Drosophila melanogaster: one gene and its partner. The protein of the gene in region 1 purifies or fractionates together with the protein of each later gene. This does not show direct contact. Each region holds a gene or a part of one and is shown in the gene's direction. Other genes may lie near its edges.

The links.
Region 2: the proteins of Tango2 (region 1) and Ntf-2 purify together in Drosophila melanogaster (affinity purification with mass spectrometry, with the first as the bait; one large-scale study listed by BioGRID). This does not show direct contact.

The regions. Positions count from the first base shown.
Region 1 is NC_004354.4:13,614,296-13,620,255, forward strand, and holds Tango2 (transport and golgi organization 2), read left to right. Parts: upstream 1-2,693; 5' UTR 2,694-3,138; coding exon 3,139-3,280; intron 3,281-3,518; coding exon 3,519-3,641; intron 3,642-3,806; coding exon 3,807-4,107; intron 4,108-4,301; coding exon 4,302-4,758; 3' UTR 4,759-4,912; downstream 4,913-5,960. Other genes in the region: tth (toothrin), read right to left, coding at 143-1,124, 1,381-1,685; CG2691 (uncharacterized protein), read right to left, coding at 5,268-5,370, 5,443-5,960. UniProt on the Drosophila melanogaster protein: May play a role in Golgi organization.
Region 2 is NC_004354.4:21,032,995-21,042,180, forward strand, and holds Ntf-2 (nuclear transport factor-2), read left to right. Parts: upstream 1-2,474; 5' UTR 2,475-2,619; coding exon 2,620-2,727; intron 2,728-2,836; exon of another isoform or gene 2,837-3,096; intron 3,097-3,404; coding exon 3,405-3,476; intron 3,477-3,544; coding exon 3,545-3,643; intron 3,644-4,615; coding exon of another isoform or gene 4,616-4,726; exon of another isoform or gene 4,727-5,000; intron 5,001-5,751; coding exon 5,752-5,865; 3' UTR 5,866-6,721; coding exon of another isoform or gene 6,722-6,939; 3' UTR 6,940-6,952; intron 6,953-7,020; 3' UTR 7,021-7,041; coding exon of another isoform or gene 7,042-7,165; 3' UTR 7,166-7,390; coding exon of another isoform or gene 7,391-7,444; 3' UTR 7,445-8,473; downstream 8,474-9,186. Other genes in the region: CG15449 (uncharacterized protein), read right to left, coding at 6,722-6,939, 7,042-7,165, 7,391-7,444.

The DNA.
Region 1 (5,960 bases):
GGCAACAAACAGTGATCAACTAAGGCTTAAAAACTATATTTAAATTATGTGCGAAAAAGTAGGTCGATTCAATAGGCGAGAAAACATTGCGAAAAACAAGGCTTTGATTGATTACACGTCCAGTTAGTTGCTGATAGAGCGGTTACAGATACTTCCGATAGTTGCGCAGATGGGCGTTCGCGTCCTCGACCACGCCCACCGCAGCAGCGGCACTCTCGAAGGATGGTGGCTCGATGACCATGCCGGGACTTGTCGGATCGCAAGACGCTCCAACGGCGCTATTTGGCCCCTTGGCTCGTCGCCTGCCACGTGTTCCCGCTCCCCGCGATCTGCGGCTGTTGGCCGAAGCTCCCGATGCTCCTCCTCCGCCGCCGGATCCCGAAACTCCCGCTAAGCCTGCTCCCAGGCTGCCGCTTAGGATGCCTCCGCTGGAGATTGGTCCTCCATTGCTGCCTGGCACACTCTCGCCAGATTCAATGGCCTCCAGCGATGCGTCCAGCGCCGCATCCGTCGTTGTGATACGCGACCTGGCCGCTGCACTGCGTCTCCGCGAGCTGGAGCTACCGCCGGAATTGCCGCCACCGCCGGCGCCTCCTCCACCACCACCGCCGCCGGAATCTCCACCTCGCTTGCCTGGTCGCCGCTTGCGCCTTTTTTTGTTACCATAGCGCGGATCATAATCGTACTCATCATCCGCCGGCGATTTGGGCTCCTCCAGCGAGTCCACATCGTTCATATCCATGTCATCGTAGAACCACTCCTTGGGCAAAAGCTCCTCTTTGACGGCCTGCTGCTGGTGCTGGTGCTGCTGATGTTGTTGCTGTTGACTGTCCTTGCTGTCGGATGTATCACCGCCGGCGGCACCCAGCGAGCTGGACTCCTCCAGGCTGAAGGCTCCATTAAAATCGTGGGCAGTGTCACTGTGCAGGGAACCAAGTACGGCCGGCGCGGCTCCGCCGCCCGTAAGCATATTGAGCGTTAGGGAGGAGCTGCTGGCCAGGCTATTGCTGCCGGGCATGGAGCCCACACCGCTGGTCAGGCTGCTCAGTCCCAGATTGACGCCGCTGGCCACCAGAGCTTCGTGCTCCTTGCGTAGCGCCTGGAAGGGACGCTCGGGAAAGCGGCTGTATAAGTGGAAAGTTCGTTATTAGCAGGGATAAATATGGAGCTCACCCAACGAAAAATGTAGGATTTGATGAGATTGAATGGCATATACACAGATGATATTCTTCTAACCTAACTCGTTTTAAATAAGATTACCATAGGTAACAGACTCCTAGATTTCCAAGCTCTAATTTGCTTCGCCAGAGTTATACCTAACTTTTCCTTGTGCATGTGCCAGTCACTCAAATCCCGCACCGATTGGTTACGATTCCTCACCTGTACATCTTGCTCAAGTACTGACGACGGCTCTTCCGCCAGCGGGCCGCCGGATACGTGTAGATCTGGCCCTGCCGGAAGCCGGGCATCCGCTGTCGCTTGTCCAGGAAGAGCTGCGAGTGGTTCTGGGCGACGCCTGTCTGCGGATCGAGGAAGGGCAGCCGGTGGCGCCGTTCGCTGCACAGGCGCGTGTTGAAGTTGGCACTGTACTCGATCGTCTCCCGGTAGCTGACATCCTTCAGGAAGCTCTCGATCTTGGCCAGATTCGGCATAGAGACGATCTGGATGTTAACGGCGGAGGACATGGCTGTTCCTGGTCCTAATCCCACTGTTGGCTAACCTCAGAGTCCGGCTGTGCCGCTAATCCATCCCAGAGTCTTGGCAATTTCCGCTCCGCTCCGCCCCGTTTCTTATCGCAATTTTTTTCCAGTGTGTTGTGTTCCGTTTCTTATCGCTTTTCGCTGCCTGTTTTTTTTATTCTTCTTCGTCTTCCACCTCTCCTCTCGACCGACACATACACGCACGCACACACACACACACGCAAAGCTCTCTATCGATGTGACCCCGCGCCAGGGGGCGTGGGCGGCAGTGGGCGTGGCGAGGGCGATACGTTTAGATCGCGATCTGCGGCCGGATTTTCCAATTGTTTAATTGATCAGAAATATTAACGTCGTTTTCACTGCTCTGCTGAATGCCAGTGTTACCAGATGGCGACATGATTTTCCCCCCAAATGTTCTCGACCGACCGGTATTTTTGTCCTAAAAAATCCACTCTTTCGCTTTAATTTTAGCGATCAGTTTTCTTACCAATTTAAGGGCCTGTATAGGTCTGTTAGTTAATTTATGCATTGCAGTGCATAGCTATGTAATGGTATTTTCTAGTTTTAATTACAAGCCTATGTTACAGGGTTTTTGGTTAGTTTTCAAACATCGATAAGTTGTAAGCCAATCGATTGCCGGGCCCACGGTCATACAATAGAGATGGGCAACTGGCGATAATGCCTACCTACCTGTTACGCCAATTTCAAAATAGTAGTTTGTTATCTGGATCGGCACAGGCGACAAAAAAAACTAATATGTTTATATATACGTTATATATGGCTTTGGAAATAAATTACACAATCATATTGGTCAATCATTGTTTCAGCGCACGATGAGGAACTAAAATCTTCAAATTTAAAAGTACAAATTAAGATAAGTCATAGACTGCACAAATAAATAATTAGCAATTAATAAAATAGCTAAAAGAATATTGCACAGGGCAGCAGAGTGTTAACGATTTTCTTATCGATTCTCCTGTCAGCTGGCAACGCCAAAACAAAACAAAAACAAAATTAAAAGAGAAATCAAAACAAGGCAACCCGGTCATTGAAATTTCAGAAAATACTGCTTTGTTTGCGTTAACGGGAATGCTTTTTGCCCCGTAGATATGTATATATCACATAGAGGCACGGCTCACAGAGAACACCCACCAATCCAAACCATTTACATTTACCACTTAGATTAGCTGGTCTCGCAAACAACGGATAAGACTGTATATCAGCTGTACGTACGTACGGCTATTTGGTGATAAAACCGGCGCTATAGTTCCACTGCCACAAAGTAACAAAGAGAAGACTGAGCCGAACAACCTGCCATTTTGATACCGACGCCCCACCGAGATTAAAGCCCACTTTTCCGGATCCCATTCGCAGTTGTCCCACAACCTCAAGGCACTACAAATCGCAACAATAGCCAAATAAGTATAGGATTCCGACGATGTGCGTGATATTCTTTTGTGCGGACTCGAATCCGCAACCGGGTGGCTACAAGCTCATCCTGGCCTCCAATCGGGACGAGTTCTTTGCCCGCGCCACCCTATCGGCAGCCAAGTGGGCGAATGCCGATCATGTTTACGGAGGTAAGTGGTGGGGCTTATGCCCTTGAATGCCTATGCTTAGATGGAGTATAATCCTTGAGAGCTTGTATTCATCAAGATGTTACCTATAGTTTAGTCACTAAGATGATTTGATAGCAGTTTGTTAGAATGAACACCTCTCACAAGATCTGTTTCCCAGCAACCTAATTGGATTTCAAGCCATCTTACCCATGAGTGCGGGATCAACTTGAGTAAATATTTATGTATTCCCCCATTTCAGGGATCGATCTGGAGCCGGGACGCGAGGGCGGCACCTGGCTGGCGATCGGCCACTCCGCTGGCTTCTTTAAGGTGGGCGCCCTGCTCAATCTGACCGGCGAGCCCAAGCCACGCGATGCAGTTGGTAAACCCATTTGAGCTACTTACTAATCCAAATTGACGCGCACACACACGCACACACACTCATCCATACACCTAACACTTGGCCCGAACTAAAACTTTCACAACCGCGACCAAAGAAAAAGCAAAGCAAAAACAAACTTTCTTCGTTTCTGTTTTCTGTTTGAAGCGCACAAAAACATTTTGCAACCGCATAATCACAACAGCAACAGCACCGGCATTAACCTTTGCCCCAAGACCACCACCTCCAACAGCTACCGTCATCCGAATCCGAATCCAATTCAGAACCCGAATACGAATCCGAGTAGGGGGCAATCGAATAACGAACATTTCTTACTAGGGCGCGGCATGATTGTGGCGGACTATGTTACCCGGGCGGACGAGGAGCACAGCATCCTGAACTACAACGAAAGGCTGCTCAAAGATTGCACCAAGTATTCTGCCTTCAACTTTGTGTCCATCGAAATTGGGTGAGTCTGCGCCCATTCAGGTTAACCTGAATTATTATATATTCTAATTATATGCATATTAGTATGTACATATATTGCTTTATGCTGTCTTTATCTCCGAATTATACGTATAAATTCTGAATAATATGCAATAACATTAGGGAACCATTAGCGAAACATTGATACCATCTACTGCACGCCTTCGTTCTCAACAGATCTGCATCCCAGCCCGCTCGCGTGAAGCTGCTGAGCAATGTGCCGCCCACGCTGGAGGATTTCCAGAACGGCGAGTGCTACGGATTTGGCAACAGTCTGCCGCACTCTCCGTTCGAGAAGGTGCGTCATGGCAAACAGGAGTTCGAGGCGATCGTTAAGGCTCATGGGGAAGCCAGCGTGGAGACTCTGTCCGCCCAGCTGATGCAGTTGCTCCGCAACAAGCACAAATTCTGGCCGGACGACGAGCTAAAGACACGTGCGCCCAACTGGGGCGAGGGATTGAGTTCCCTAAACGTCCATATCGAAGAGCATGCCTATGGCAGCCGTACACACTCCGTTGTCCTGGTGGACAGCGAGAATAAGATGCACTTCATTGAGGAGACAATGACTGGATTGGATCCGCACGGCGAATGGAACAAGACCCACATTGAAAAGGATTTTCAAAACGGCGTTTGACCACGGACAGGATGACGCAACTTCTTGACGCAACTATCTCGTTCGAAGACTTTCCTCTTTTGTAGAATAACCTAATTGGCTAATATTCTACCAATCTGTATTTTGACTCTGGCATTTGCGATAATAAATAGTCATATTTACTATATCTTTAAAGAACATAAAGCTTGTGTGGATTTAATCTAACGTTACTGCTCTTCTTTCTGCCACGCATCGAACTATGTTGCTTTCAAAATTCTTTATTCAAAGTCTTTGCAGATCAAAACAAAAAAAAAAAAAAATACATAACTATTCTGTTTCTGTTTTTCTTTATCTGTGGCATTTACAACGTCTCCACATGTTCATATATATATATTAAGTTATATTTATATATTTAAGCAAAGTAACAGGGGAAATAATCATCAACGTCTTAGCTTCCTTATCAACAGACCGCACTATCCCAGTGTTATTATACATCTCTATATCTCTATAGCTTTACGAGCCTGTTAGCCAGTTGGCTTGAATCGTCTGCCCTATTTGTATTTCTTGGACACCCGGCCACCGCCGGCTCCTCCATTTTCAGCGCCAGCTCCTCGCAATACGCTCTTGAATTTTCGCGAATTCATTGAACGTTTTCTGGGGGCGAAAGAGATGGAGTATTAGATAGGGACGGGTATATTAATAATATTAAACATTTTGGATACACACCTCTTGTTCAGGTTATTCCTAGTGAGTGGTATATACGCATATGGATCCAGTTTTCCGCTCTTCTTCATATCACCCTTGGCCTTCTTGCTGCCGTACTCACTGCCCGCTGGGCGGCTGGTGGATTTGCCTGACTTCACGGACATGGCATCCGAGTTTCCAGCTGTCAGCTGTCGATGAATGCCCTTGCCACCGGCAGTGTAGCGACTACTGGCAGTGGTTTTGCCCGATTTCATGCTCATCGCATCATCACCCTTGCGTACACGCTTGGGTACTAGCTTCTGCTGCAGTTTATCTTCGTCGCTCGAATCGTCTTCCATGCCACGCTTAACCTTGGGCTGCTTGGCTACAGTGCCATACGCCATGGATGCATCGGAATCCGAGTCGTCATCGGACTGATCGTTACCGCCCTGGCCACGAAGTGCCTTGTCGCTGATGATCAGGCGTCCATCGTCGGCAGTCTTGAAGCCACCGTTCGGCAGCTGAGCTTTCGTCTTTTGACTCTGGGCAGGGGTGGCCGT
Region 2 (9,186 bases), 7.4 Mb from region 1:
AGAGGGCTCCTCTTATGTATTTCTATGAATTGAGTGGATCGTGCATGGATGCTGGGATAAGCCAAGGATTTGAGCTTCGTAAGCGGTTTTGACCCTTTGGTGGGAGTCGTGAATGCGGCTGCGGATGTTTATGTCTGGTGGATTGGGTGCCCTCTTGAGTGGATCGCGCATGGGTACTGATCAGCCGAGAACTTCAGCTGCGTTAGCGGTTTTGACCCTTTGGTGGGAATAGCGAATTCGGCAGCGGATGTTAATGTTTACATTAGGGCAGGCTGGATTTTTTATTGTCACCAGAATTGGGGTTCTTATGGGATACTTGAATTTATGACTTATATCCTAAGGCATTCTATGATTTGGTTTATGCAAAGACACTAGAATAACAAGATGCGTAACGCCATACGATTTTTTGGCACACGATTTTTTGGCCGTGGCTCTAGAGGTGGCTCCAGGCTCTCTCGAATTTTTGTTAGAGAGCGAGAGAGCGGAGAGCGCTACAGCGAATAGCAGACAACTGTATGTGTGCACACGTATGTTCATGCATTGTAAATTTGACAAAATATGCCCTTCACCTCAGAAGTTCTTAGACTTTAAATCTATATTATTTTTGATCAATTGGCACCATGCGAAAAAATCTTGTTTTGCATTGCAAATCCTGATCGTCCTCGCGAAGCAATGCTTCACGGCCATACCGCGGGGGGTCCTGGATTTGCCCTCCTTACTTTTACATTGTTAATCTGTTAATCTTAATCTTAAATGTTCAATAGACGAATTAAAAAAAAAAAAACCTAATCCTGTGTAATCAGAGCACTGGGGACGCGCGCGAGTAGCCGGGCGAATCGAGTTAACGCTCCTGGAAAACCCGAAAATTTTCCGTGTCGCGGCAGCTAAATAGAGACAGGAGTGACTGTCTCTAACACACAGTAATAGTGTAAAAATCACGGAGCAGACCAATAGCCAACCCCTCCGCTTATGAGTCCCCCGTCGGAACTTCACCCTTCACACCCAACCCTTAAGTCCATGACGCTGCGCTTGCTCTCTTGACCAGCCGGGCAGCAGCATAATAAAAACCCATTTTGCGTCTGAGCCAAGGTGGCCGGCGGAATGGTTTGTGTCTGAGCCTCATCGGCCAGCACCGTAACCATCACCTGGCGAATGGTATAGGGCCGCACACCTTGCAGTCCAAGGTTCTAAGGACCCCACCCTATAAGCCAAACGATGGCACCCCCAAGGGGCCATTATAAGTGACCTCCCCCCCAAACAGAGCCCAACCAGCAAGGCCCCCTTTTCTAGAAATCGAGGAGATGGGAGATATATTATACAACGGGGTGAGGAGCATTAATCTGGCAATGAAGAACACATTTGCCAGATTGAAGGATCTCCAACTAAAGCTGCGCGTGAGGCTGCCGGAGGAGGAGAATTCGCATGCCAAATGCACCGCAAGAACTGATGCTAGCCAACAGACCATCCCTAATGGCCTCTTTAGCTATGAAGAACCGAGTAAGGGCAAAGACGGTGTCAAACCAAAGATCGCACGGTGATGTCCAACGCCCTGCACTCCAAGGAGCTGAAGTTGGCGTTGCCGACTCGACCAGCAAGACGGTAATAATGCTGCTCAAAGGTGCCTTGAAACGTGCGACACATACTGAATATGCCATCCAACTGTTTTTCTGTTTTTTATTTTTGTTCTTAGCTAAATGTAATATGTCAAATAAACGAATTTAAAAAAAACCTAATCCTGCGAACCAAACATAGGTGTGTGTTGTGATGGAGGCAACTCCTGCGCAGGCGCGCGATGTCCGTAAATGTGGTGAGCATTGCCACGAATTGTGCGCGCCAAACGCAAATTTTCCTGCTGCGATGCATACGCACTGCCGGTGTGACCAGATCGGTCACTCTTATCGATATCGTTACCAATCCAGCTTACTAGCTTTAATAAATTCTATAAACTTGTATATCGAAAATAAAATTATTATTAATATTATATTAATATCATTTCAAATGGCAATGAATATTTAATTTTAGTAATAAATTGGGGTGGATATATGCTTTTCCGAATGTGAAGAAAACATCATCCTTTCAATATCTGGTTTATCCCTCCCGTCTGAAAATTGTGAAAATACAAGCGATTCCACATTATGAATAAACGGATCTAAAAATCAACTTTAGATACCTTACAATGGATTGTAAGTTGCGTTAGCTTAAGTATGACCTGCAATTAAACAACAAATCAAAGAAAAGTCGTCCCGAGCGAGGAAAAAAAATAATATATGAAACACAAATAATTGTTTTCCAAATGACCAAGTATTACGCCTGACAGAAATGCAATAATTTGTTCTTACATTTATGTGACCCTATCATCATCGAATCATATTTCAAATTCCAATTCCGATTTCGTTATTAGGACATCGGGCTGTAGCCCTGGGTATCGTAATCGATAGTTGCGAAATAGCAGTCAGCGATAGTGTCTGACAAAATCGACGTTGTTCCACCCCTAACAAAGAGTGGTGATCTGAGCGCAGTCGGTTGATTTCATTTGGTTTTTTTTTTAATTATTCGTGTCGCCGCGATCGGATCGGATTTCCCATAATCTCTGAGCGTTCCGCCTATCCTTCAAGTGAAATGTCGCTGAATCCGCAGTACGAGGACATTGGCAAGGGATTTGTGCAGCAGTACTATGCGATATTCGATGACCCGGCGAATCGGGCGAACGTGGTTAATTTCTATAGCGTAAGTGTTGTTGCTTCCCGCTTCTGCTCGTCGCCTTTCATCTCTCCTTTATTCCCGTCTCCGCTTTCGCCTGCACATTTTTCGCTTGCCATCCCCATCACACGCACAGGTGACGCGCGGCGCGCCCTTGAAAAATTCCGCCTCCTTTCAGCAGAAAATGAATAAAGAAACTGTTGCAATGCGAAAAAGAGCGCGAAAAAGAGCAGCTGGAGATATACGGTCGGCGTATCCGTGATATCGTGGGAATAGGATGAATGTTGATAGGGGCGGGGGCAGCGTTCGATTCTCGAAGTTTCGGGTGACACATTACGCCCATGCTCGCATAAATAAATACACACATACGAAATATATGGCCAACATACAACTGCGGTTAGCACAATAGGGCCCAATATACGATATAAATTCGTGAAAAAATTGTATTAATATCTTGAAAAATATGGCATAATTGTGTTTCATTAGTTTCAATCAATTCAGTTTTTTTGTCACATAAAAGAGTAAATGAAAGAATAAAAAAGTCTATAATGATAAAGTATTGAAAATAAAACTATCTGTTTGATATGTTTTTAATTTAAATATTAACAGTTTTATAACCAATTTTGTTCTTAATAATACGAAATATCATTACTAAGTAAAACATCATCATAACACTTATATCATTATATATTTTATACTTCCAGGCTACCGACTCATTCATGACCTTTGAAGGCCACCAAATACAGGGGGCACCCAAGATTCTGGAAAAAGTTCAGGTAAGTCCTGATTATATACAGTCATGGGCATATGTATAATATTTTGCATACCCTTCCTATTCCTGCAGAGTCTGAGCTTTCAGAAGATTACCAGAGTGATAACCACAGTGGACTCGCAGCCAACTTTCGATGGCGGAGTTCTGATCAACGTCCTTGGAAGACTACAGGTAAAACCAGAATTCTCAACAAGAAAACTGTCCTAAACTCGCTGTCGGGGGGAAATTCAATGACTGCCTGCGGCGGCGGTTAGAATATTAGCACTGCCGACCAATTCAATCGATTTTCTTTTCAAGTTTTGAATTTTATTTTTGGTCTTTTCAACACGTAAATGCTTGACAATCGTTTTTGTAACAAATAGAACGTTTTGTTTTGGCTTTCACATAAGAACATTATTTATTTTGCACTGTTTCCCATTTATTTGTTATCATGTATGGGCTTTATTAAGCCTGCCACTTTATTCCATTAAGTGTTCTTCATTCTAAGATACATTATACCCGTTACTAGTGCAGTTAAAGAGTATACTATATTCGTTAAAAAGTATGTAACATGTAGAAGCAATCGTTTTCGACAAAATGTAGTATATATATTCTTGATCAGGATCAATAGCCGAGTCGATCTGGCCCTCTCCATATGAACGTCGAGATCTCAGGAACTATAAAAGCTAGAAGGTTGATATTAAGCAGACCGATCCTAGAGACACCGACGCAGCGCAAGTTTGTTGATCCATGTTGCCACGCCCACTCATATTGTTCAATATGAAATTTCGCGTTCTCACTTCCAGTCGGAAAAGTCGACCATAGCATTCTCTCTTGTTTTGAATATAATATCCATTGACTTATTGATGCAGTTATAGTAGGTAGATAAATGAAATGAATTTTAAAAAGAGTAACTGCCTCAATGTATTTTACGATACCTTATTGTTCAAAGTGGATATATGTAGAGACGTAGAAGCAAATTTCAATCGCCCATCACTTAAGATATGAAATCATTCATCATTCTTCCGTAAAGTCGTAAGGGCAGTGCTATTTGCCGACCGCCGCTGCATCTATTATTCCATATAAGTCACCTGAATCTGAATCGAATATCTCAATTCTGGTTATTACAAAACGAAACACAAATGCCAAAACAAACCAATGCAGACCGACGAGGATCAGCCGCATGCCTATATTCAGACCTTCGTATTGAAGCCGGTGGGCGGCAGTTTCTTTGTGCAGCACGATATATTCCGACTCTCGCTGCACGATGTGTAGCACCAGCGAGCCCGACCTGCCACGCCCAGTCCACAGACTCCAGCGCCCGGCTATATGTGTGTAAATCGAGATCGAGATCAGCAGCCAAACGATCAGCCAGCAGACACGAGACGAGAGCCAGTTAAAAAACGAAAGAAATCCATATCTAAGCGATAAGATAGTTCTGCTGCTTGTCGACCTTATGCCGCCCAGCCATGCCCACTCCGCCCACATATACAAAAATATTTATCCTTGGCGTCTCGTCGTCGTCCAATTTCTTCTAATTATTCTCACAGTACGTGAATGTCCAACGAAAATTAATCAAATCAAAATGTTGCGCATTTCATTTCGTGCATGGTTTTCGTTGATTTTGAGTTGGATTTGCTCTTTCTTTCGGTTGGTCGCTGGGGACCTGGAACCTCCTAATAATGCAATTTTAATGTAACACAAACAATTTCTGTAACCTCTATTGCTTTACATTTTTAACTAAACGGTTTATATTTATATTATATTTTTAGATGCTTTCAATTGATATTGCACTTATAAAAATTCTGTTTTTCATTTGTTACAAAACCAAATACCAATTGACTAGTCTTAACTTGCATATTGTTTTGTTCAATAGCTCGAAGAAGAGAACTGTAAATATCCCAAATTGTTAAGCGCACCCTAATATGCCTTAAAAAAAAAACTTTCAAATGTTGTTCAATTTTGAATGGAACTGAGGAAAGTTTTGAGAAGTTCTTATATCAGTGAATAATAATTTTGCTCGCACATTTGGTATAAAGTTTATTCTGCTCGTGAAAATGTTTTGGAGTTATGTTCAATTTATCGAGCGAGCCCTGTACAGTAAACACGCACCTTACACGATCAATCGGCTGCCAGTTGTACACCCTTTCCCTCTGACCCTGGCTTCAAACTGTGTGTACTCCATTCATATCTAACTCAATACGTTGAAATTGGTTTTTCGCACGCTTGTGTTATTGACTTTAAATGTGACTGGTTTGCCTGGCATCTGCTAACGTATTTATGATTTCATTCCTTTGCAGTGCGATGACGATCCCCCACATGCCTTCTCGCAGGTCTTTTTCCTGAAGGCCAACGCAGGCACCTTCTTTGTGGCCCACGACATCTTCCGTCTCAACATCCACAACTCTGCCTAGGAGCACTCCACTTACCTACGTATGCACACCACTCAGCACCACACATAATCGACATCCAAAGATGCCCAGCGCCAGATGATAACAACAAGCTCGGCAGTGGAACTCAGAAAAAAAAAATATAACAAAGCCAGCCAGCGGTCTCACGATTATCAGCAAATACAAAAGTTAGAAAAAGAAAAAAAAAAAAAAAACAATAAAAAAATAAGAAAATAACGCTAACTACTATTACGATGTCAACAAAATGGGCCGCCAGCTCACCTTCATTTGTGTCCCATTGTTGCCGGTACTCTCGCTTTACGATCCACGGAACCCTAGAATTATATGTTCTGCGAACACCTGGATCTCGCGATCTAATTTAGCTAGGACTATCGAATTTGGTGGTATGTGCCGTGCTACAAGCTCGTATTTCGAATTCCCGTGAAATGAGCAGGAACAGCAGGCCGGGATCATCGCCTACATAAGTTTAGAGTGATTTTCTAGACCGTTTATATTTCCAATTGAATTATTTGTACTTTAATTATGAGGATTATTTTAGATAGCCGTATTGCAAATGTATTGTGTCGAGTGTCTCGCTCTGTAAACAATTACTTGAGTACCGGGACTGCACCACACACAGTCGCAAGTATCGACTCTTGCTTTCTCATATGACTAATTGAGCGATGGCGAATTACTTTTTATTGAGAGAAAAAAAAAACACTTAAATATAAAGATAAACGTTAACAGTTTGGTTGTTTGTATGATTGGCGGAATGGCCAGTTGAACCGGAAAGATATGTATACCCTTATAAGCTATTAAATGCATACGAAAGAAGCTCCAGCGGATCTGGCCAGTGGTTTCCGTCTAAAAACTGAACGATTCACTTGTCGCGAAATGTGAACACCGCATCGAATCCGAATAGCACCCCATTGACGATGGACAGCGAGGCCTTGATGAGCGCGAGATCCCGAGTTCGGGTGCGGAAGGAGAACTCCCAGGCCTCAATGATGAACACACCGCTGGCCACGAACAAGGTGCAGCCCAGGACGCTGAAGAATATATCGATGCGCTTGTGAATGGGTGCCCGCATCAGAACGCCTGCAATTGCAAGGTATCTTAAGTAGATTTGTGTGCAAATTTCGTTTTTGGTTAACTTATTTTAGTATTTTAACTCTTAAGGACTGGCATTCCAAGGCGTACCTGCAAAGACCCCGATGACCACTATGATGTAGCCCGTGAAGGTGCCAGTGGCCAGGAACGAAGTCATTATATCGCGATCGTTGAAGCTGTAGAAGTGGAGCACCAGACACGCTACCGCAAAACCCTGGAAAAGTGAGGGGATTTTCATTTGTGGTGCTTCTTGGTGTTCTTATAATTTCCGAGTCTATCTGGTATTTCGGGTCTTTTCTTTTAATTCCCAAGTCGTTTTTTTTTTTTTTTTTTTTTTTTTTGACAAACCATTGTTTAGTAAGCATACGCGTTGCTTTTTGCATTAATTCATTAATCCTTAGAACTTGCAGTAAAATCACTTGAAAAAAAAATCCTTTACCAGTTCGAGAAACTTGACCACATTGAGGCGGCCTTTTCGCTCGCCATGAGACATTTTGTGAAACTGCTGCCGCTGACAGTCCTCGAAAATGTGGTCCAGCTTGAAAATGTACGTGTCGCAACTCAAGAAAGTTCCAAAGTTCTTCCGATTGGCCTCTTTGGAGCGTGCTCGCGACGGCAGAGCGCTGGACAAACTGATTCTGATTCGGAAATGGATGACGGATGGCAGGCAAATGCGGCTGCAGTTTGCAGTTGGGCGCAGTCGGGCCCAGCCAGCGAAATTAATTAATTACACTTAGGAAATAGGCTTTTCATTCTTGTTCCCATCCCTGTGTATCCGCCCACGTCCACCACGTCCGCCGGGCCTCTCGGTTCCATCTCTGAAGTGGAGACCGTCTGCGTTCTCCGCTGCCAGCTGCACTCGAGCCCCATCCCTTCCAGCTTGATTGAGTGGAGCATAATGTCTGTATCTGCATGCATGCTCTGTGCCGGTGGGTGGCCAGTGGACAGTGGGCAGCCGCCCAATGGACTCGGACTCATTGTGCTCGCATTGCCATTACCCCAAATTTGCTGCCTAACCTTCGGGGCCCAAGATCGGAGCTAATTCGCGGAATCGGGGCCAACGGGTCGCCAATTTTCCGATGGTAATCAAGTGGATAATGGAAAACATATCGCCGGGGAAATCACTTCCTCAAATCATGAATAATCTTATGGACTTCATGGGAATTATTAGGTTGTAAGGTTGTGTTGCAACGCTTTTCAGATATAAAAGTGGATTTGTAATGCATGGAATATATTTTTTAATATATTACAAGTACTGTACTTTTTAAGTGCAATTAAAAGCTTAGAGCAACATAAAAAGTAAGCCGAATTTTATATACCCTTCACCTATAGTAACTTAGCTACCACTAGCTTGGACGACTACAGTCGTCCTGTTTTAATAAAATGTATTTTATTTCTATTTATTTTTCCTGTATTTTTTACGAACGTTAAACTGCAAATCCCATTCCGCTCGCTCCTAGTTCAGCTAAATTATATAGTTTATATAAAATTAGATTAGTAATTACATTTCCGACCCGGCCTGTTATTGCCTTATCTAATACCTGCAATAGGTTTAATAGTTTAAGTAAATACGATTACGTGGAAATAAACAGACACGGTAAGATTTAGTTGGGTGTCAATTCTGACTAAAAATATATATCTAAGTAATATATACTTTGTTCCTGACTAAAACAATAACACTTCCTGTGTTCTATGGTCAATTTGAAAACATGCAAAATAAGTTGTTACAGCTGAACAAATCTATTTTTAATTTTTAAATTAGTTCTCTATAGAGTGTTTATGCCACATGTTGAACCTATTTATCTTAACTTAACATCAACTGCTTTATTAATTTCAAAACCTAACCATTAAAATAAATATATGTTTTTAGAATAATTTCGGCTGGTAGCAAGCAGAAGTACATATACGATTATTTATTATCAAAAGCCCAGCTTATCAGTTTGAAGGCAACTTTTGATATGATTCAACGCAGACACAGGTGCGCATTGAAACTATATTTAGACCTTCTTATCGCTTCAATGTTTTGATTAATCCGTATTTTCTGTTTCAATTTTGAAAATGCATTTTTCAAGACCTTACTACCAGAACGAAATCCAATTGAGCTTTGGCAAGCTTTTTGTTTCAGCAATTTTACGGTAATTAGCAGCAATTCCCATGCTATTGTAGTTCTATTAAAAGTTAATCGCCAGCACTTTACAGTGACAGCAAAACTAGTTATACTAGTTGCGAACTATG